3 linked regions of the Arabidopsis thaliana genome follow. The protein of the gene in region 1 interacts with the protein of each later gene in a biochemical or structural test. Each region holds a gene or a part of one and is shown in the gene's direction. Other genes may lie near its edges.

What was found.
Region 2: the proteins of CKB3 (region 1) and CCA1 form a complex in vitro, tested with the Arabidopsis thaliana proteins (2 studies listed by BioGRID).
Region 3: the proteins of CKB3 (region 1) and LHY form a complex in vitro, tested with the Arabidopsis thaliana proteins (one study listed by BioGRID).

Annotation. Positions count from the first base shown.
Region 1 is NC_003074.8:22,269,029-22,274,428, reverse strand, and holds CKB3 (casein kinase II beta chain 3), read left to right. Parts: upstream 1-2,255; 5' UTR 2,256-2,466; coding exon 2,467-2,671; intron 2,672-2,757; coding exon 2,758-2,976; intron 2,977-3,064; coding exon 3,065-3,174; intron 3,175-3,270; coding exon 3,271-3,436; coding exon of another isoform or gene 3,437-3,459; exon of another isoform or gene 3,460-3,584; coding exon 3,585-3,715; 3' UTR 3,716-4,159; downstream 4,160-5,400. Other genes in the region: AT3G60260 (ELMO/CED-12 family protein), read right to left, coding at 42-126; AT3G60245 (Zinc-binding ribosomal protein family protein), read right to left, coding at 4,679-4,742, 4,839-4,921, 5,020-5,108, 5,381-5,400. UniProt on the Arabidopsis thaliana protein: Plays a complex role in regulating the basal catalytic activity of the alpha subunit.
Region 2 is NC_003071.7:19,243,004-19,249,993, forward strand, and holds CCA1 (circadian clock associated 1), read left to right. Parts: upstream 1-2,587; 5' UTR 2,588-2,869; intron 2,870-2,953; 5' UTR 2,954-3,001; coding exon 3,002-3,040; intron 3,041-3,119; coding exon 3,120-3,231; intron 3,232-3,319; coding exon 3,320-3,381; exon of another isoform or gene 3,382-3,748; intron 3,749-3,859; coding exon 3,860-4,054; intron 4,055-4,141; coding exon 4,142-4,315; intron 4,316-4,398; coding exon 4,399-5,280; intron 5,281-5,351; coding exon 5,352-5,714; 3' UTR 5,715-5,912; downstream 5,913-6,990. Other genes in the region: PSI-P (photosystem I P subunit), read left to right, coding at 726-882, 973-1,094, 1,182-1,268, 1,354-1,416, 1,675-1,712, 1,810-1,867; DUF4 (hypothetical protein (DOMAIN OF UNKNOWN FUNCTION 724 4)), read right to left, coding at 6,188-6,651, 6,753-6,906. UniProt on the Arabidopsis thaliana protein: Transcription factor involved in the circadian clock and in the phytochrome regulation. Binds to the promoter regions of APRR1/TOC1 and TCP21/CHE to repress their transcription. Binds to the promoter regions of CAB2A and CAB2B to promote their transcription.
Region 3 is NC_003070.9:32,207-40,273, reverse strand, and holds LHY (Homeodomain-like superfamily protein), read left to right. Parts: upstream 1-2,516; 5' UTR 2,517-2,705; exon of another isoform or gene 2,706-2,875; 5' UTR 2,876-2,901; exon of another isoform or gene 2,902-3,070; 5' UTR 3,071-3,212; coding exon 3,213-3,251; intron 3,252-3,352; coding exon 3,353-3,464; intron 3,465-3,588; coding exon 3,589-3,650; intron 3,651-4,102; coding exon of another isoform or gene 4,103-4,184; intron 4,185-4,274; coding exon of another isoform or gene 4,275-4,310; coding exon 4,311-4,544; intron 4,545-4,626; coding exon 4,627-4,707; intron 4,708-4,799; coding exon 4,800-5,873; intron 5,874-5,946; coding exon 5,947-6,282; 3' UTR 6,283-6,293; exon of another isoform or gene 6,294-6,612; intron 6,613-6,684; 3' UTR 6,685-6,895; downstream 6,896-8,067. Other genes in the region: UMAMIT28 (nodulin MtN21 /EamA-like transporter family protein), read left to right, coding at 1-61, 460-865, 987-1,138, 1,220-1,376; PPa1 (pyrophosphorylase 1), read left to right, coding at 7,604-7,727, 7,815-7,843, 7,927-7,992. UniProt on the Arabidopsis thaliana protein: Transcription factor involved in the circadian clock. Binds to the promoter region of APRR1/TOC1 and TCP21/CHE to repress their transcription. Represses both CCA1 and itself.

The DNA of each region.
Region 1 (5,400 bases):
AAATAGAAAGAATCATCGTACAAAGTGAAGATGAAATTTACCAGAAGAAGAATGATAAACACTTCCTCGTTCTAGACCTTGTGAAATCCTTCTCACTGCTACGAACGATCCTCCTCTATCATCCATCTCTCTCTCTCACTCTCTTCCGAGTCACCTCAATCACCAAATATCTTCTATCAAATGCAGAAACAAACAACAAATACAAGTTATCGAATCAATCGGAACTTTCGGAATCTGAATCAAACAGAGACGCAATGCGAATCCATATCATGAGAAACTGATCAAAAACACCTAAACAGAGATAATCATACTATATGTACCCGCCGGAAAACGAACAAATCGGCGTCGCTGCTTTTAGATACAACAGAGAGATAGACGAAAACAGTTAGGATTGAGAGATCTACCGAGAGAGTCGCCGGAGTTTAGGCGGCGATTGAGCTTAACAGATGGCGGAATTTATGAAGATTCGGCCGTTTCTCTTCTTTTTTTTCTTTCTTTGGGTTTAAGAAAATAAAAATGGGGATTTACAACTAAAGGATCTGGCGCGTGTTGTTCAGTCGCTATCAAAAGCTTAGTAACGGAAAATAATGACTCGTGCGGTCATCGGTATTTAAGTCGGACGACGTCAACGACAATCTTCTAATTCATTTTTTTTATTATTATCTTTCAATCTTCTCTATTTTTAAGCATCTTTTTAAGATTCTGTTTTCTACTGTTGTGAACATCGTGAATATTGCTGTAACACAATAGTAATTCGAAATGAATTACATAATTAACTTATGGTTATTTGTTTTCATTTTTTCTATATACTAACCAACCATTAGAAAGTTATACTTTAAAATCAAAGATCTACTTGGTTGTTAACACATTCAAAATAGCTGAGCGGTTAAGGAATGGTTAGGCAACAACAAAATTTTGAATTACCTGATCAAAATATTGAAATCTAATCTCACAGAATTATATGATTAGTAAAGTCTTAGTGCCACACTTCCGTTTGCAACTAGTGACGCTTCGAGTTTGGAAATGCATTATCGAAATTAAACTTTATTTAATAAAATCTATCTAAAGGTTAGCTTTCAATCTAGTTTTTGTTTACTTTCTTAATAAAACAAAACATCGAATCCGAGTAAGATAATATAGCATGTAGAGTAATAATGTTGTCTTACAAAGCTAACCACATAAGTGAGATCACGGTATCATGGGTGCGACAATTTCATTAAGGCGTGGGCCAATACTATCACCGGTATGGTTCAAATATAGCCGACCCGCGTGTAAACTGCCTTTTCTTTTTGTTCGTGTGATTAGACATTCACTTAGTAACATGTCAATTATTAGTAGATCCTTACCGTTTAATGCAAAAATAAAATTTCAATATACAACTACTAGTATTAAATTTACAACTTCTATAAAACTTTTGGGAAATTGTCAAAAGTCGTTGTAACGAGGCATGACTACTTTCTCCGACAAAGGCTCCGTTCTGCAAGCAAATGTTTCTAGATCCCAAAAATTATGTTTGGGTGTGTATATTACATGATATGCCAGTCCAATTTTTATCTATCAATTTTGTATATAAACGTGGATCACAAACTTTACTTGAACACAAACGAAGAAATACAAAATATTTCTCAAACTAAAAAAAATAAAATAAATACAAAATATTTCTCAAACTATTGTAGTATTTAACTAACAAAAAAAGTCGAGATCTTTTTTTTTTTTTTTGTCGTAAGTCGAGATCTTTTAAAAATGAAACTTGTGTTGTCTGAAACAAATGCTTAGATTTTGAATAGATAATATAATGAGTTTTATGCAGAGTCGTGCACCACGCCACCACAAGCTCGTGTACCTTCAGTTTCTGAAACACGATTCAACTCTAGATTTTGTATAGAGTTCAATTCGTGCTCTTCATGTCCGATTTTTTAAAATTAAAAAGTTTCCTTAATGTTTACGATATTATTATTATCCGAAGACCTTTGTCAGGTCTAGCTCCGTTGACCAATGCATCTTCCAAGTTCCAACATGTATATGTACTCTAATTCCAAAAATCGTAATCTTGTTGGTTGTCATGTTTGTTCACGATTTATGGATTTCATCTTATGTGGGCTGTGGCCCATCTGTTTTGGTCGTTTCTGATGGAAGCAAGCAATGAGACTAAACTGACTTTAGCTAACACAAGGCCCAATTATAGAAGCCCATTGTAAAATAGAAAGAACAAAAACTGGAAAGCAAAAAAAAACAAAACAGTTGAGAGGAGAAAGAGAGACCATCTTTACATCGCCTATGTCCTGTCCTCCACTCTGTTACCAAAATTATATATAATTTTTTTAAAAAAATTAAAATTAAAAAGAAGAAAACCCTAGATTTCTCCGTCTCTCTAATTTCCTTTCTCTCTCAAGCTTCTCAGAAAGTCTGACACTTTCGAGAATCTAATCTCCAAATTTCTTGTCTTTTTGGAGAAGGAATCGAATTATGTACAAGGAACGTAGTGGAGGAGGTGGTGGTGGGTCATCGAGATCAGAGATCCTCGGTGGAGCTATTGATCGGAAACGAATCAACGATGCACTCAATAAGAAACTAGAGAAATCTTCAACTTCCACCACCACATCTAGGGTTTTCTCTTCTAAAGACAAAGATCCCTTTTCCTTCACATCTACTAAAACTCAGCTTCCTGATGGTTTGTTCCTCTCTTTTTCACATCTGTGAGTCTTTTTGTTGGTTAATTGCTTTCTTTCTGATGATTTTTTTTTTTTGGTGTTGCAGTGGAATCGGAAACTGATAGTGAAGGGTCTGATGTGAGTGGATCGGAGGGTGATGATACGTCGTGGATCTCTTGGTTTTGTAATTTGAGAGGGAATGATTTCTTCTGTGAAGTCGATGAAGATTATATTCAAGATGATTTCAATCTTTGTGGTTTAAGTGGTCAAGTCCCTTACTATGATTATGCACTTGATCTCATTTTAGATGTTGATGCTTCCAACAGTAAGTCATCTCTCTTCTTCTTCTTCTTTCTTTTTTTGTTAATAAGGAGCTAGTAAAGTTTGGTCTGAAATCTTGTATCTATGTTTAGGTGAGATGTTTACTGATGAACAGCATGAAATGGTGGAATCAGCTGCTGAGATGCTATATGGTCTTATTCATGTTCGTTACATTTTGACTACTAAAGGAATGGCTGCAATGGTTAGTGAGAGAATCTCTCTACTCTTTTGTTTATGTTTTGGTGCTTTTAGCTTCGTTATTTGATTAACGACGTCTCTTGTTTATTGATCTCTGTAGACTGAGAAGTACAAGAACTGTGATTTCGGGAGATGCCCGAGAGTTTTCTGTTGCGGTCAGTCTTGTCTTCCAGTTGGACAATCCGATATCCCGAGATCGAGTACTGTGAAGATATACTGCCCTAAATGCGAGGATATATCTTACCCGCGATCTAAATTCCAAGGCAGTATCCTTTTTCTCTGTTCATAATCCATAATTTTGGCTTTGCCATTTCAATATTTCAGTGAAAGCTTAGGTCTGATTTTGCTTCAGTTGAGACACTCTGATCTTGAGTGTCATTGTATCTTAGCGTTTTCCTTAAATGACTTGTGCAGATATTGATGGAGCGTACTTTGGAACCACATTCCCTCACTTGTTCTTGATGACTTACGGGAACTTAAAGCCGCAGAAGCCTACTCAAAGCTATGTCCCAAAAATCTTTGGCTTCAAGGTACACAAACCATGATACTAGTGCTCTGCATTCTCAATGGTGATACATTTAGTGGCTCTGTAATTGCATCCGGATGAGCAACTGAAACGATAGCTGCGGTGACTGGAGCATACATCAACCATTGGGTTAGAGGATGAGAGCTGAAGTTGAAAGATGGAATCTTGAAAGAATCTCATGAAGTTCCAAGAAAACTTAGAAGTGCAACAGCCTGGCTCATTGGGGGAAAAGAACGACACACTTGGGTCTTGTTGTTGTCTCCGAAAAGATTTTCCCCAGTTAGTTGGATTTTGTTTTGAACTGTTGGATTATTATTCGTTTTTCTAATTTCATGTAAAACTCATAAATTTCAACTGAAGTATAACTTAGATCAATCAATTTCATCAAAGATCATAATGAGACATGTATGGCCATTAAAATACACTCAAGGGACCAATATCTTAGGATGATTACGACACAAAAGCATATAAACAAGTCAATATATAGATTTTATAAGAGATCATTGCCAGACATAAAAACCAGTAACGTTAGTATTTGTTTATTCACCGACTTTTGTGTAATTAAACTTAGTACACTCAGTTATAGATTGTATTATCGTAAGGATTTCTAGTAAAGCACTTTGAAAACACACATCAAACTCTAAAAATTTTGATCTGTAAAGACTCGTGCGAATACTGTTACCAAGTTATAGGGTTAAAGAAGTGCTGATCAAAATAAAGTATAAGAAACATCACATTAGATCAGGATTCAAGGATTTATAATTAGGTGTTGAATAGGATCAAACATTCAAAACCTCAAGCCTAACTTTAGGTTATATAGCTAGAACTATTGGTAATGAAACTTTGAAAATTAACTCAACAAAAAATAAAAACCTGCTTAAACTGCTCAATGTATAAGTCTTGATTCAAAATCACAAGCATAGAGTTTGCAAAACTTAAATTGTCAAAACAAGGAAACCAAATATAAAAAGCCAGCAGACTTTTAACCCTCGATCTGCTCCCTCAACCTTCTGATCGTGCTTCTAACAGTGACCGCACTGGCGGTGCTGCAATTCACAAACGAAAACAATTTCATCAGAAAACAAATCATTGATTGATAACCAACACAAAGCTAATACAAATATAACTCAGAAATCACTTACTTCATTGTGTAAGCACCACCTGCCTTGACCTTGCCACAATCCTTGCAACCCCAGATACCAACAGCCTTTCGCTTCACTCCGTACTGCAATCATTTTGATCAAACCACAGTTACCACAATAATCCAAAACCAAAAGAGATTTAGAAATGAAAACAGTAACTGAATGTTAATCTCTTTCATACCTTGCCACAGAACTCACAGAAGTACTTGCTGTGCTGGCTGACCTCCATCTTCTTAATCTGCTTCCTGATACTCGCACCATAACGTGTTCCTGAATCACATAACCATACATACGTTAGGAAGAGAACTCACAATACATATAATAACCAACTTAGACCCCAAAATGAAGAACGAATTGCAATATGAAACCAGTGTAGACAGATCCATTACATATTGACAACATGTAATCAAAAATGAACGATACATGTTAATATACTCCATTAAAATGAGCTACAAGACTAAGCAAATTTGCAGATCCTATCCTTATTTTCGATAGCATTAACATCCTAAGCGATTCAATAAGAGATGAGTCAGGAACATTACCGTATTTGCCGACGATTCCA
Region 2 (6,990 bases), on another chromosome or scaffold:
TCAAATATTTAATTCAAAGATTTTCTTTCTAATTATCAAAAACAATTATTAAATGCCAGTGGCAGCCACTGTAAATAAATCTCAACTCTAGGATTTATTTCACAAAGTGGCTGCAAAAATGTATATATAAATATCTAATCTTTACTTAGATGGCATGGGTTTGAAAAGTTCTGAGTAACTGATAGGCCCAATGACTAAAAGCCCATATGTGTTTCTCATCATAATGGAAGGCCTACAAGTAGAAGAATTCGCTCGTGTTTATGAATTATGATCTTGATTGTAATCTTATTATCAAAAACCAACCGTAAAAGTATATGAATTGCGTATTTGTAAATTGTAATTATTATATAGTATTGAGATTGTGATTAAAAGTAATAATGAATTTGTTGAATTATTATTATAGACTATAGTATAGTAGCAAGAGTGAAATTTTGTTTTCAAGAATTGAGTCCTAATTTTATAAAAGGAGCCAAAAAACCCAATTCTATCTAATCCAATGAAAACTCCAAGATCGTCTCTACGTCCGCCACGTCAGCACTATCCTGATCGGGAAACCCAAAACGAGTGGTCGAATAGTTTCCGACTGGTAACAGAGAAAGCATCTCCACAATCCCCAAAATTCTTTCAACACTTGCTCTCCATTAATCTTTTAGATAATAAACCTAATTGTTTCTGTTTTGTTTTTGTTTCTGTGAGATTCTTCCGAGGCTTGAAGCTCAATAGCTATGGCTTCTCTTTCAGTCTCTTCCTCTTCAACCATCATCGATTCAAGAGCTCCTCCTTCTCGACTAGCCTCCGCCTCCGCCTCTTCTCCGTCGTGCATTTCACTTCCCACACTTCCGATTCAGTCTCATACCCGTGCCGCTAAAGCCACTGCTTACTGTTCGTTTTCCATAAATCTGAAGATTTTTCTTTTCACTTTTAATTTCGAGTTTAAAGTTTCAAACTTTCGAAATGGGTTTTGGTTTTTAGGTCGGAAGATTGTGAGGAACGTTGTGACGAGAGCTACTACTGAAGTTGGTGAAGCTCCTGCCACTACTACCGAAGCTGAGACTACTGAGTTACCTGAAATCGTCAAGACTGCTCAAGAAGCTGTAAATACTCTTACTTTATTTATACAATGATGATTCTACCTCTTGCTTCTGGGTTACATGTACTGAATTTGGTTGTTTGGATTGAAGTGGGAGAAAGTGGATGACAAGTACGCTATTGGTTCTCTTGCCTTTGCTGGTGTAGTGGCTCTTTGGGGTTCTGCTGGAATGATTTCGGTGAGTAGAAGAATACTACTTTCTTCTTAAAACCCTAGTGTTAAATTTCCTTTATTTGATTCCAAAATTTGTTATTGTGAAACAGGCAATCGATAGGCTTCCATTGGTTCCTGGTGTTCTTGAACTTGTAGGCATCGGTTACACAGGAGTGAGTTTCTTCTTCTCTTTGTATCACTTGAACCAAAGCTCTCATGAACCTGTTTTGAGGATATAGATGATTCATCACTTCACTTTTGGATTTAGGATTAGTTCTCTGAATTTAGAATCCGAACATCTGCAATTCATATGGAGATATGATATCAGAAATTGATTGCTGCTTCTCGCTAGTGTTTCAATCTTAAAAGACGTGTGTAGTTTGTTTCAATTGTGTGATGGACCTTATTAACATTTGGTTTTTCTATGGCAGTGGTTCACTTACAAGAACCTGGTCTTCAAACCAGACAGGTTAACCAATTCTCTCTTTAACTCTGTGTTTGGTTGCATGTAATACTGAGAATGGAAGACTCAAATTCTCGAGGAAATTGTTTGTTATCTGTTTCAGGGAGGCTTTGTTTGAGAAGGTCAAGAGCACATACAAAGACATATTAGGGAGCAGCTGAATCAAAGGAGGAAGAAGAAGAAGAAGAGCCTTTTTGAGGCCATTCATGAATTGGAATGAAGGATATCAAAAGAATCTAACACAAAGGCCACGTCCTTCCTTCAATCTTTCCTTCTTGTAACTAAATAATTTTCATCCTTTCTCTCTCTCTGTCTCTGGTCTTTTTTAGCTCAAAGTATCATCCATTTATGTCAAAGTGTTGTAAATTCCTCAAGACTATATATGAGATGTTTTGTTTCATTTTCCAAAATTTCAAACTTTGTCCCCATTTAGTCTTCTACCCTTCATGCATGGTTAGCTTAGCTTAATGCTGAACTGTTGAATAACGATATGGGCCTTATGCTAAAAGAACAAAACCTTATGGGTCTAAAAAAAATAAGCCCAATATAAAACTATGGCCCAAATAAGTTTAGGTCCATTAGAGTGTGAGAATAGCGCGTGTAGTGAACCGCACGAGAATGCGCGTTCGATTGTTGGTGAAGTAGTCGTCTAGATTCCCGGGTCCACTGATGTTTCTAGTGTATCAGACACGTGTCGACAAACTGGTGGGAGAGATTAACGATCTTAAGTAGGTCCCACTAGATCAAGATATTATAACGAATTGACCTTTTTAACCTTTCAGGTAGTCCCGGAACTCGTGGCCTAGAATACAAAGAAGGTTGTGAACAAGTTGATGTTAAGATGGACAAGAATGTAACTTGAACAAAAGCTGAATCATCTCTTCAGCCACTAGTATGTTGACATATGGCAGTTTCTTTTGTAGCCTCGAAATAAATAAATTAAAAAGTTTGAGGTTAAAGATAATTATAGTGGCTGAGATTTCTCCATTTCCGTAGCTTCTGGTCTCTTTTCTTTGTTTCATTGATCAAAAGCAAATCACTTCTTCTTCTTCTTCTTCTCGATTTCTTACTGTTTTCTTATCCAACGAAATCTGGAATTAAAAATGGAATCTTTATCGAATCCAAGCTGATTTTGTTTCTTTCATTGAATCATCTCTCTAAAGGTACTTAAGATTGATTTATTGTCATGGTCTTTCTTATTGTTTGATGAATAACTTGACTTGATTGTTTTTTGTTTTGTGGATTAGTGGAATTTTGTAAAGAGAAGATCTGAAGTTGTGTAGAGGAGCTTAGTGATGGAGACAAATTCGTCTGGAGAAGATCTGGTTATTAAGGTAAATTAAACTAAATTTTAGGGGGAAGATGATTGTTTTAGGTGTCAAAGATTGAGAATTTTAATGAAACTTGATATAGACTCGGAAGCCATATACGATAACAAAGCAACGTGAAAGGTGGACTGAGGAAGAACATAATAGATTCATTGAAGCTTTGAGGCTTTATGGTAGAGCATGGCAGAAGATTGAAGGTTGATTTTTATTTCCCTTTATATGTCTTATTTTTTGTGTTTGCAGAGGTTTGTCTTCAAACTGATTTGCTTTTTTTCATTTGGACAGAACATGTAGCAACAAAAACTGCTGTCCAGATAAGAAGTCACGCTCAGAAATTTTTCTCCAAGGTAAAATCGGTTAATTTTGAAATGATGTTCTCATCTTCATTGGCTTAATGCTTAAGACTTATTGAAAGCCAGGCAAGTTTTCTGCTTCTTTTGCTTCTTAGTCAGGAGATAGATAGATTACGTTTTTAGAGTTTAGTAATGAGCAATAAGTCTTAAAATAGTTGGAGAAATGACGAGATGTAATCGTTTTCTTTTGTTTATGCCTATATCTTGTTAATCCACAAACATGTACATAGATTCTTCAGAAGAATGTTAGTTTCTTTAGATTCTTCAGATAAACTTGTGTCTTCTTACCGATTCTGAGGTAGTGGCAAAAGTGGGCTGAGTGCTAGAAATTTTTGAATGTTCCTTGTGATAAGCCATAGAGGTAAACCATTTTTGATTTTCCAGTTCTGTCATTTAAACTTGTTAGTGTCATTAGATTTTTGTTTGTTTACGTTTGTTTAGAGGGTAACAAAACTACTCTCATCTCTCTCAGGTAGAGAAAGAGGCTGAAGCTAAAGGTGTAGCTATGGGTCAAGCGCTAGACATAGCTATTCCTCCTCCACGGCCTAAGCGTAAACCAAACAATCCTTATCCTCGAAAGACGGGAAGTGGAACGATCCTTATGTCAAAAACGGGTGTGAATGATGGAAAAGAGTCCCTTGGATCAGAAAAAGTGTCGCATCCTGAGGTGATTTTCATGGTCATATGGCATCTTTTTGCAGTGTGTCACATTGCTCCTCATGTTATTAATACAGATTGTGTGCTTCGTTTATAGATGGCCAATGAAGATCGACAACAATCAAAGCCTGAAGAGAAAACTCTGCAGGAAGACAACTGTTCAGATTGTTTCACTCATCAGTATCTCTCTGCTGCATCCTCCATGAATAAAAGTTGTATAGAGACATCAAACGCAAGCACTTTCCGCGAGTTCTTGCCTTCACGGGAAGAGGTAAAAAACAATCTTTCATTGCTATTTGAGGTTTTAAGACGATTAGTACTTTTCATGAAACTAAAACCGTGGGGGAATAACAGGGAAGTCAGAATAACAGGGTAAGAAAGGAGTCAAACTCAGATTTGAATGCAAAATCTCTGGAAAACGGTAATGAGCAAGGACCTCAGACTTATCCGATGCATATCCCTGTGCTAGTGCCATTGGGGAGCTCAATAACAAGTTCTCTATCACATCCTCCTTCAGAGCCAGATAGTCATCCCCACACAGTTGCAGGAGATTATCAGTCGTTTCCTAATCATATAATGTCAACCCTTTTACAAACACCGGCTCTTTATACTGCCGCAACTTTCGCCTCATCATTTTGGCCTCCCGATTCTAGTGGTGGCTCACCTGTTCCAGGGAACTCACCTCCGAATCTGGCTGCCATGGCCGCAGCCACTGTTGCAGCTGCTAGTGCTTGGTGGGCTGCCAATGGATTATTACCTTTATGTGCTCCTCTTAGTTCAGGTGGTTTCACTAGTCATCCTCCATCTACTTTTGGACCATCATGTGATGTAGAGTACACAAAAGCAAGCACTTTACAACATGGTTCTGTGCAGAGCCGAGAGCAAGAACACTCCGAGGCATCAAAGGCTCGATCTTCACTGGACTCAGAGGATGTTGAAAATAAGAGTAAACCAGTTTGTCATGAGCAGCCTTCTGCAACACCTGAGAGTGATGCAAAGGGTTCAGATGGAGCAGGAGACAGAAAACAAGTTGACCGGTCCTCGTGTGGCTCAAACACTCCGTCGAGTAGTGATGATGTTGAGGCGGATGCATCAGAAAGGCAAGAGGATGGCACCAATGGTGAGGTGAAAGAAACGAATGAAGACACTAATAAACCTCAAACTTCAGAGTCCAATGCACGCCGCAGTAGAATCAGCTCCAATATAACCGATCCATGGAAGTCTGTGTCTGACGAGGTACTTACTTGGACTAAAGATCAACTTCCTTTATTTCAAATCATTTTCTCATATAAATATTGTACATTCAGGGTCGAATTGCCTTCCAAGCTCTCTTCTCCAGAGAGGTATTGCCGCAAAGTTTTACATATCGAGAAGAACACAGAGAGGAAGAACAACAACAACAAGAACAAAGATATCCAATGGCACTTGATCTTAACTTCACAGCTCAGTTAACACCAGTTGATGATCAAGAGGAGAAGAGAAACACAGGATTTCTTGGAATCGGATTAGATGCTTCAAAGCTAATGAGTAGAGGAAGAACAGGTTTTAAACCATACAAAAGATGTTCCATGGAAGCCAAAGAAAGTAGAATCCTCAACAACAATCCTATCATTCATGTGGAACAGAAAGATCCCAAACGGATGCGGTTGGAAACTCAAGCTTCCACATGAGACTCTATTTTCATCTGATCTGTTGTTTGTACTCTGTTTTTAAGTTTTCAAGACCACTGCTACATTTTCTTTTTCTTTTGAGGCCTTTGTATTTGTTTCCTTGTCCATAGTCTTCCTGTAACATTTGACTCTGTATTATTCAACAAATCATAAACTGTTTAATCTTTTTTTTTCCAACCTGGAAAGAACTTCACTCAAGGGGCTCTTGTTCTTGATATATGCAAACGACAGAGTTCCAAAACGTAATCTTAGCCCATCCATCACCCTTAAGTTGTCTCATAACTCATAAGTAAGCACAAAAGCACCACACAAATAAGCAAACTCTACTTCCTTATGTCATCACATAAATAGAAAGGCAAGCAGCCAAAGGCAAGCAGTAGCAAGTACAACAGAGTTGTTACAAAAAAGGATTAAATAAAAACAGAAGTTATAAGGATAAATCCAACCACACCCATGAAATGACCCCATATCTTTTATTTGGCCGTCTCCTTGTCTTCAAAGCTGCTTTTGCACCTCACCAGACTCTTTTTCAGCTTGCTATAATCATCTGCCATCTCTTTCTCCATCCCTTTTTGTTGTCTGAGGGATTCACGTCTCATCTTGCGGAGAACTAACAGCGTGAGGACCTGTGATAAAGGTTCTGCAACGTCGAAACCCTGCTCCTCGAACATTTTAAATGTCTCTCTGTAGACATCTAGTTCACTTTTTGGAGTGTCCTCACACATACCATCTACTGTCTTTACACAATCGATAAAAGCTGCAGTCAGATAGGCTGCAGTCGGTTCACCAAAACTTGGATGCGTGTAAGCCAATGATGGGAAGTGAGGACGTTGTGGTGTTCTTTTGTAGACCTCATCAGACTCAAACTCTTTCCACGAAGCTAAAGTCTTGGTAAAAGGCAAAACAATTTCCTCACCAGCTGATCCTCCTGTAGGAGCTGACCACCAACACAAAACAATGAGAATTGCGTAAGTGTACACGTATCTAGCTAGTTGTTCGTCGTATCAATGCAAGCCTCCTATCGAGAGTATAATATACCTGCAGTCTCGTTGTTGAGATCTGAGTGGTGCTCTTGTTCTACTCTTCTCCTCTTACCGCGGCCACTGGCATCATAATTAGGATGATCAGCATCAATTATAAGCAAGCCCCTCTCCTTCACAGGCCCGGCCCGTGACCCATTTGTAAGAAACATGGGTATAGGGCCACCAAAATTTGTAAGGTTTTTAGTATTAAAATTAGGCCTCAAAAATATTTGTTATTGCAAAATATAGGCCTC
Region 3 (8,067 bases), on another chromosome or scaffold:
TTTCGTGTGCTTTGGTAAGCATGTTGCCTGCAATCACCTTCGCTTTGGCCCTTATTTTCAGGTAACGATGGAACCATCTAACCTCTTTATCATCAATTGATAATATATATTAATCTAGATTTTTAAAAAGCACTACTGAAAGTATTGACAACATAATATAGAACATTATATTTTCTTATTAATTGTAATGCAATCTGATTGGTTTTCTTTTCCATCAAATTACCTTAAGTATACGTAACTGCATCCACTGAGCCCTCTTTCTAAAGCTTTTCCTGAAAAAATGTCTTTTCTTAGCTATACGTCGCATTTTTATAAACTTTGATGGAATGATGCGGAAAATTATTAAAAAGCGACTCTATTTTGTAACGCCAGGAAAGAAAAAAAACAAATACTTTCTACTATGATTCATATTCTCAATAACTTGTTTCAAAATAATCATTAAAATTTTACTTTTTTTAGGACTGAAAATGTGAAGATTCTAAAGACCAAAGCAGGAATGTTGAAGGTGATTGGAACTTTGATCTGTATAAGTGGAGCTTTGTTCTTAACATTTTACAAAGGCCCACAAATATCAAACTCTCACTCTCACTCTCACGGTGGGGCTTCCCACAACAACAACGATCAAGACAAGGCCAATAATTGGCTTCTTGGATGTCTTTATTTAACCATAGGAACAGTGTTGCTATCTCTATGGATGTTGTTTCAAGGGACTTTAAGTATTAAGTACCCTTGCAAATACTCGAGCACTTGTCTTATGTCAATTTTCGCGGCATTTCAATGTGCTCTCTTGAGCCTTTACAAGAGCAGAGACGTTAATGATTGGATCATAGATGATAGATTCGTTATCACCGTCATCATATACGCTGTAAGTTACAAACATCATATCTTTATAAATTAACTTTTTAAAAATTATAAGATTAGTATGTAAGAACTTAAGATATTAATGTGGGTTTTTTTATGTGGTTTTTTTTTATCATATATTATAGGGAGTGGTAGGACAAGCAATGACGACGGTTGCAACAACATGGGGGATTAAAAAATTAGGAGCTGTGTTCGCATCGGCGTTTTTCCCACTTACTCTCATTTCGGCTACTCTATTTGATTTCCTCATTTTACACACTCCTTTATACCTTGGAAGGTATCTTCTTCGATAATCTCTATCAAATTAATTTTGTCTAGGCATAACACTAATTACAACATTAAAACTTTTGGTCTACAGTGTGATTGGATCACTAGTGACCATAACGGGTCTCTACATGTTCTTGTGGGGGAAGAACAAAGAAACGGAATCATCAACTGCATTGTCTTCAGGAATGGATAACGAAGCTCAATATACTACTCCTAATAAGGATAACGACTCTAAGTCGCCCGTTTAATTTAATTATATTGTTGTTAATGTATGTTTCAAATAACTGTTATGTCCTAGTTAATGTTTAAGGAGAGGTAATGAGAGATAAAATTTTATAATTCCAAACATCAACGTAGAGATTTGTGAAATATTTAAATCCGGTTTGTTTGGTTATTTTGGAATAATTTCGGTTATTTCAATTAGATTCGGGTAGTTCAGTTCTTCGGTTAGTAACAAAAACTGGTCTATTGTTTTTTGGTTAACCTAGAACCGAACCGAACTAACCAAAGTTCTCGGTAACCTTTTGTAGTGGCTTCCTGACCGATGAGGCCGTCAACTTCAAAAAATATTGCAACTAAGCTCTGCTCCAACATTAGAGTATCTATAACTATGTTAAACGCTTCTGCTTTAAGCAAAACACAGTTGTAAGCTGGAATCTAAAAAAATGAGTGTAATGATGTTTGCTGAATTCCATAAATAAATACTACATGCTTCGGTTAAGACTTAAGAGTAATTAATGTTCCTTAATTTCTACAAATGTTATATAAGCAAGTTGACCAAAGTTCTCGATGATAATTTGTTGAAATTTTGTATAGGCATTGCATGATATTATATGAAAAGATGAAGATTTTTATACAGACGCAAGTTCCCCGAGCAGTCCAAGCTTGTCGGGTTTAATTCAACTATGTTAATACGCAAATTTATATAGAATAGGCGTAAAAGTGAGGCCCATACAATGTCTTATTACAAGCCCAGATCCAGCATAGCCAATACGTAGCAGTACACCATCACAGCTGGCACCGTACCCACTTGTTTAGTCGTCCAAGTTTGTACCAATAATCGTTTACACGTAAGCAATTGTGGACCACCACACTCACTTTTACCTACGTGAGCTTCACATTGAAGCTTCTGGCTCGTAGAGAAGCAACTTGAGATATACCAAAAAGTGCAGTAGACAGCCACTACAATATCACCACGTGTCGATCTGCGATGACTTCTGTTTTTTCCATTTATACCCTTGGTGCTGTTCCAGCCTCAAATAAACTTTTCAATTAAAATTTTTCCAAAAATTAGGGGAAAAATTGTTGTGGCTGAGATTGCTTCTGGCTTCTCTTCTTCTTCTTCCAGTCTTCTTCAGCCTAAAACAGTCTTCCTTCTTCTTCTTCTTCTTCTTCTTCTTCTTCTTCTTCAGTTATCTTCTTCCTTCTTCTCTCTGTTTTTTAAATTTATTTTTAGAGATTTTTTTTTGTTTTGCTTCCGATTTGATTATTTCCGGGAACGATGACTTCTCCGGGGAGTTCCCGGTGAGATGATAAGTCAGATTGCATACTTGTCTCCTCCATGGCTACTCTCAAGGGTATAACAGTTTACATTATGAGCAGTTTCTAGGATTCCTATAACATACTAAGATCTCTGTTTGGCTGCTGAGAAACTTATAGAAGCGATTAACTAAATCTTATTAGCTCTAAAAGTTAGCATAAATGATACGAATCTGGTGATTGATTACTGATATGAAGATTTGTGAAGGTTTTGGCTGCGGTGGATTCGTTTGGGTGAGGCTTTTGTGAATAATAATAAAGGGAATTCTTTTGAGTTCTGCTGGAGAAGCAGCGACTGTTTCACGGTGGACTTTGAAAAGATTTCTCTTTTGAATTTCGCTCATCACTCTTATCTTAGTGTTTGTGGATAAATATTTCTCATAAAGTACTTTCTCCTTTGCAGTTTCTCTAGAATCTAAAGAGGTTATCACAACGGCTTTGCAATTTGAAAACTTTCATGTTTGGGGAGATCAAAGATGGTTTCTTTTTTATACTTTACTTGTTAGAGAGGATTTGAAGCAGCGAATAGCTGCACCGGTCCTGTTATGGATACTAATACATCTGGAGAAGAATTATTAGCTAAGGTACTACTACTAATGAAATAAGATTGGTGTTTTTTTGTTTGAGAGATTTGGACTGTTGTTGTGTGAAGATTTGATTTTCTTTTGGGTTTTCAAATGTTTAGGCAAGAAAGCCATATACAATAACAAAGCAGCGAGAGCGATGGACTGAGGATGAGCATGAGAGGTTTCTAGAAGCCTTGAGGCTTTATGGAAGAGCTTGGCAACGAATTGAAGGTCGAAAGTTTATCTTTTGAATGTTTAGTTTGAACTCTTTGAGATTTTATATTCCTTTGTTTAGGAGTGTCTTTATCTCCTCTTGATTGGGAGATTCCTTCTTTTCTTTTCATTTTGTGTGCAGAACATATTGGGACAAAGACTGCTGTTCAGATCAGAAGTCATGCACAAAAGTTCTTCACAAAGGTAAGTTGATGATCCTTTCAGATCTTTTTAAAACACTTTCGTTATCTTGTGTAAAGGTACCATTTTTTCATATCGATCTATGACTATGTTTAGAAGTTGCCTGTCACTGTCTGGAAAAGATGATAGAAGGTTCTTCTTATTCTTCCTTTTCTCTAATTGCTTCAACTAGAAATTAGGCGTCTAAGTAGAGTGTGTTTTGCTAAGTAGAGTTGGTTGGTTCCGAGGATTGCATCTCGATCGTTTTTTATCTTTTTCATTTACTCTGTTCAACTAAACTTAACATTAGATTGGTCTGTCCAAACTTACTGTTAGAAAAAACTCTACAGAGAGCTTTCTTCTCTGAGACCATAAGATAGGTCCAAATTAACATAACTAGCGTTGCATTTGGATGACACAATTGTCCCATATTCACTAAAGTCGATGAAATAATGGGATTGCATGAATTCTTTTAGCCATCCATATGGAAACCAAACCTCCTTGCCCTATAGGACAGGACATGAAGTAACTCTATCATCTCTACCCCGAAAAATTCGGGTCAGTATAAGACTTTTTTCAACCTTGGTGATGTGGTCAATTTCATGAATCTCAGGATTTCACATCTGAGCTGCATTTTTCCATCTCCAGTTTGGAAAAGCTCACAGTTTTTGGTTCACATTTCAGTTGGAGAAAGAGGCTGAAGTTAAAGGCATCCCTGTTTGCCAAGCTTTGGACATAGAAATTCCGCCTCCTCGTCCTAAACGAAAACCCAATACTCCTTATCCTCGAAAGCCTGGGAACAACGGTACATCTTCCTCTCAAGTATCATCAGCAAAAGATGCAAAACTTGTTTCATCGGCCTCTTCTTCACAGTTGAATCAGGCGTTCTTGGATTTGGAAAAAATGCCGTTCTCTGAGGTTTATTCCTGATCTTTCTCTTCTTCATTTTATCATTTTGGTGGTCTTGTGATAGACTTCTTATGTTTTATTTTCTGGTTAGAAAACATCAACTGGAAAAGAAAATCAAGATGAGAATTGCTCGGGTGTTTCTACTGTGAACAAGTATCCCTTACCAACGAAAGTAAGTCTAAGAAAGCTACAAAATTGTAGTCGAAGAATCTGATGAATGCTTTCAAGTGCATGACAAATTATTTGTTCCATTCTGATTTTTAGCAGGTAAGTGGCGACATTGAAACAAGTAAGACCTCAACTGTGGACAACGCGGTTCAAGATGTTCCCAAGAAGAACAAAGACAAAGATGGTAACGATGGTACTACTGTGCACAGCATGCAAAACTACCCTTGGCATTTCCACGCAGATATTGTGAACGGGAATATAGCAAAATGCCCTCAAAATCATCCCTCAGGTATGGTATCTCAAGACTTCATGTTTCATCCTATGAGAGAAGAAACTCACGGGCACGCAAATCTTCAAGCTACAACAGCATCTGCTACTACTACAGCTTCTCATCAAGCGTTTCCAGCTTGTCATTCACAGGATGATTACCGTTCGTTTCTCCAGATATCATCTACTTTCTCCAATCTTATTATGTCAACTCTCCTACAGAATCCTGCAGCTCATGCTGCAGCTACATTCGCTGCTTCGGTCTGGCCTTATGCGAGTGTCGGGAATTCTGGTGATTCATCAACCCCAATGAGCTCTTCTCCTCCAAGTATAACTGCCATTGCCGCTGCTACAGTAGCTGCTGCAACTGCTTGGTGGGCTTCTCATGGACTTCTTCCTGTATGCGCTCCAGCTCCAATAACATGTGTTCCATTCTCAACTGTTGCAGTTCCAACTCCAGCAATGACTGAAATGGATACCGTTGAAAATACTCAACCGTTTGAGAAACAAAACACAGCTCTGCAAGATCAAAACTTGGCTTCGAAATCTCCAGCTTCATCATCTGATGATTCAGATGAGACTGGAGTAACCAAGCTAAATGCCGACTCAAAAACCAATGATGATAAAATTGAGGAGGTTGTTGTTACTGCCGCTGTGCATGACTCAAACACTGCCCAGAAGAAAAATCTTGTGGACCGCTCATCCTGTGGCTCAAATACACCTTCAGGGAGTGACGCAGAAACTGATGCATTAGATAAAATGGAGAAAGATAAAGAGGATGTGAAGGAGACAGATGAGAATCAGCCAGATGTTATTGAGTTAAATAACCGTAAGATTAAAATGAGAGACAACAACAGCAACAACAATGCAACTACTGATTCGTGGAAGGAAGTCTCCGAAGAGGTAAAACAAAAACCAATGATTCATGGATATTGCAGAGTTCTTCTGGGAACTAACACTATCAAAATATTTTCAGGGTCGTATAGCGTTTCAGGCTCTCTTTGCAAGAGAAAGATTGCCTCAAAGCTTTTCGCCTCCTCAAGTGGCAGAGAATGTGAATAGAAAACAAAGTGACACGTCAATGCCATTGGCTCCTAATTTCAAAAGCCAGGATTCTTGTGCTGCAGACCAAGAAGGAGTAGTAATGATCGGTGTTGGAACATGCAAGAGTCTTAAAACGAGACAGACAGGATTTAAGCCATACAAGAGATGTTCAATGGAAGTGAAAGAGAGCCAAGTTGGGAACATAAACAATCAAAGTGATGAAAAAGTCTGCAAAAGGCTTCGATTGGAAGGAGAAGCTTCTACATGACAGACTTGGAGGTAAAAAAAAAACATCCACATTTTTATCAATATCTTTAAATCTAGTGTTAGTAGTTTGCTTCTCCAATCTTTATGAAAGAGACTTTTAATTTTCCTTCCGAACATTTCTTTGGTCATGTCAGGTTCTGTACCATATTACCCCATGTCTTGTCTCTTGTCTCTGTTTGTGTATGCTACTTGTGGTCTATATGTCATCTGCTACTACTGTTAATTAACCATTAAGCAATGGATTTGTCTTTATTCTTCTTTTTAAAAATTGTGGATATTGATTGATGAGATCATAAATAGTTTATAATGATAAAAGATGAACTGTACAAAAGTTACAACTTAGAAAGTTTTGTCTTTTGGTGTTTCTTCATAATGATTCTCTCTGTTTGTTTCAAACTTGAAGGCGCTCGTTGCCCAACGCCAAATGCCCAAAGGTGCTAGGCTGGGCCTTAAAGATTTTACTCACACTACTTGGGCCTACATTACAACATTTTCCCTATTACAAGCTTAAGTAATAGAGGCCTAAAGAAGGCTTATATTGTGTAGCTAGTTTATACAATATTTCAATCTCTTAATTTGGTTTACTGATGAATGAGTAGATATACAATTTTTTTGTTCTCACTGAATGAGCCATATCCTTGCTACCAAACCAAATTATTTGTGAAAAATGTAATGCAAGTATCCTACATAGATTATAGGAGTGACCGCAAAAACACAAACTATGTTTCGTAATAAAAAATAAAGTATTTTTAAAAAGATGTAAATCTTTGTAAATAATTGAGTGGTAGTGTAGTGAGTGTTACGATAATATAAAAGTTTGATCCGTATATCTCGGTGGTGACTCATATATACATTTTACAATCACTTGCTAGACCAACGGGCTTCACTTGTTTCTCTCCCAAAGTTTCTTCATCATCCTTGCGATAAAGAAAACAACAATCGGCTGTTTCGTTTCGATCCAAAGGTACGTTTTTTTTTCTTTTGTCATCGTTCTAAGATCATCAAAGTTTGATGCTTTTCCATGTTTAATCTTCTGGGTATTTTGTTGCTTCAAATCTCAATCATCCATCGAGTCTATAGAGAAAAAGTGAACAGATTTGGTATACATCTTTTCAGTAATCGATACGTTAACAATATATGAATCCATAATTTGGGTATGATCGATCTCAAGTCTGCTTTAAGGATTGTTTTCCCTTGTGGGGTCTTGATTCGCTTTTTCCATTTAATACTCTTGATTCGATTGATTCTCTCTCTGCCAATTAGGGTTATGATGTTAGATTCAGTCAATATCAATGAGTGATGAAACGTTCTGATTTTGACAGATGAGTGAAGAAACTAAAGATAACCAGAGGCTGCAGCGACCAGCTCCTCGTCTTAACGAGAGGATTCTCTCATCCTTGTCAAGAAGATCCGTAGCTGCTCATCCATGGCATGATCTTGAGATTGGTATATAAATCATTCTAAACATGCTACTTTTTGATTTCATACTTTTGTATTCTGTTACTAAATCATAAGTCTGGATAATCTATCTAGGACCTGGAGCTCCACAGATTTTCAATGTGGTAAGTTTTTTCCTACTCTTTGTTCTAAACAGAGTATGTTGTTATTAGATTCTCTAATCATTTTATCTTTGGATGATTATTAGGTTGTTGAGATCACTAAAGGAAGCAAGGTCAAATACGAGCTTGACAAAAAGACAGGACTCATCAAGGTTAGATGAGAACAAAGTTTATTTTTTATATGAATGGTTTTCTTATAGCAAAATCAATCTCAACAAGTTTGAATT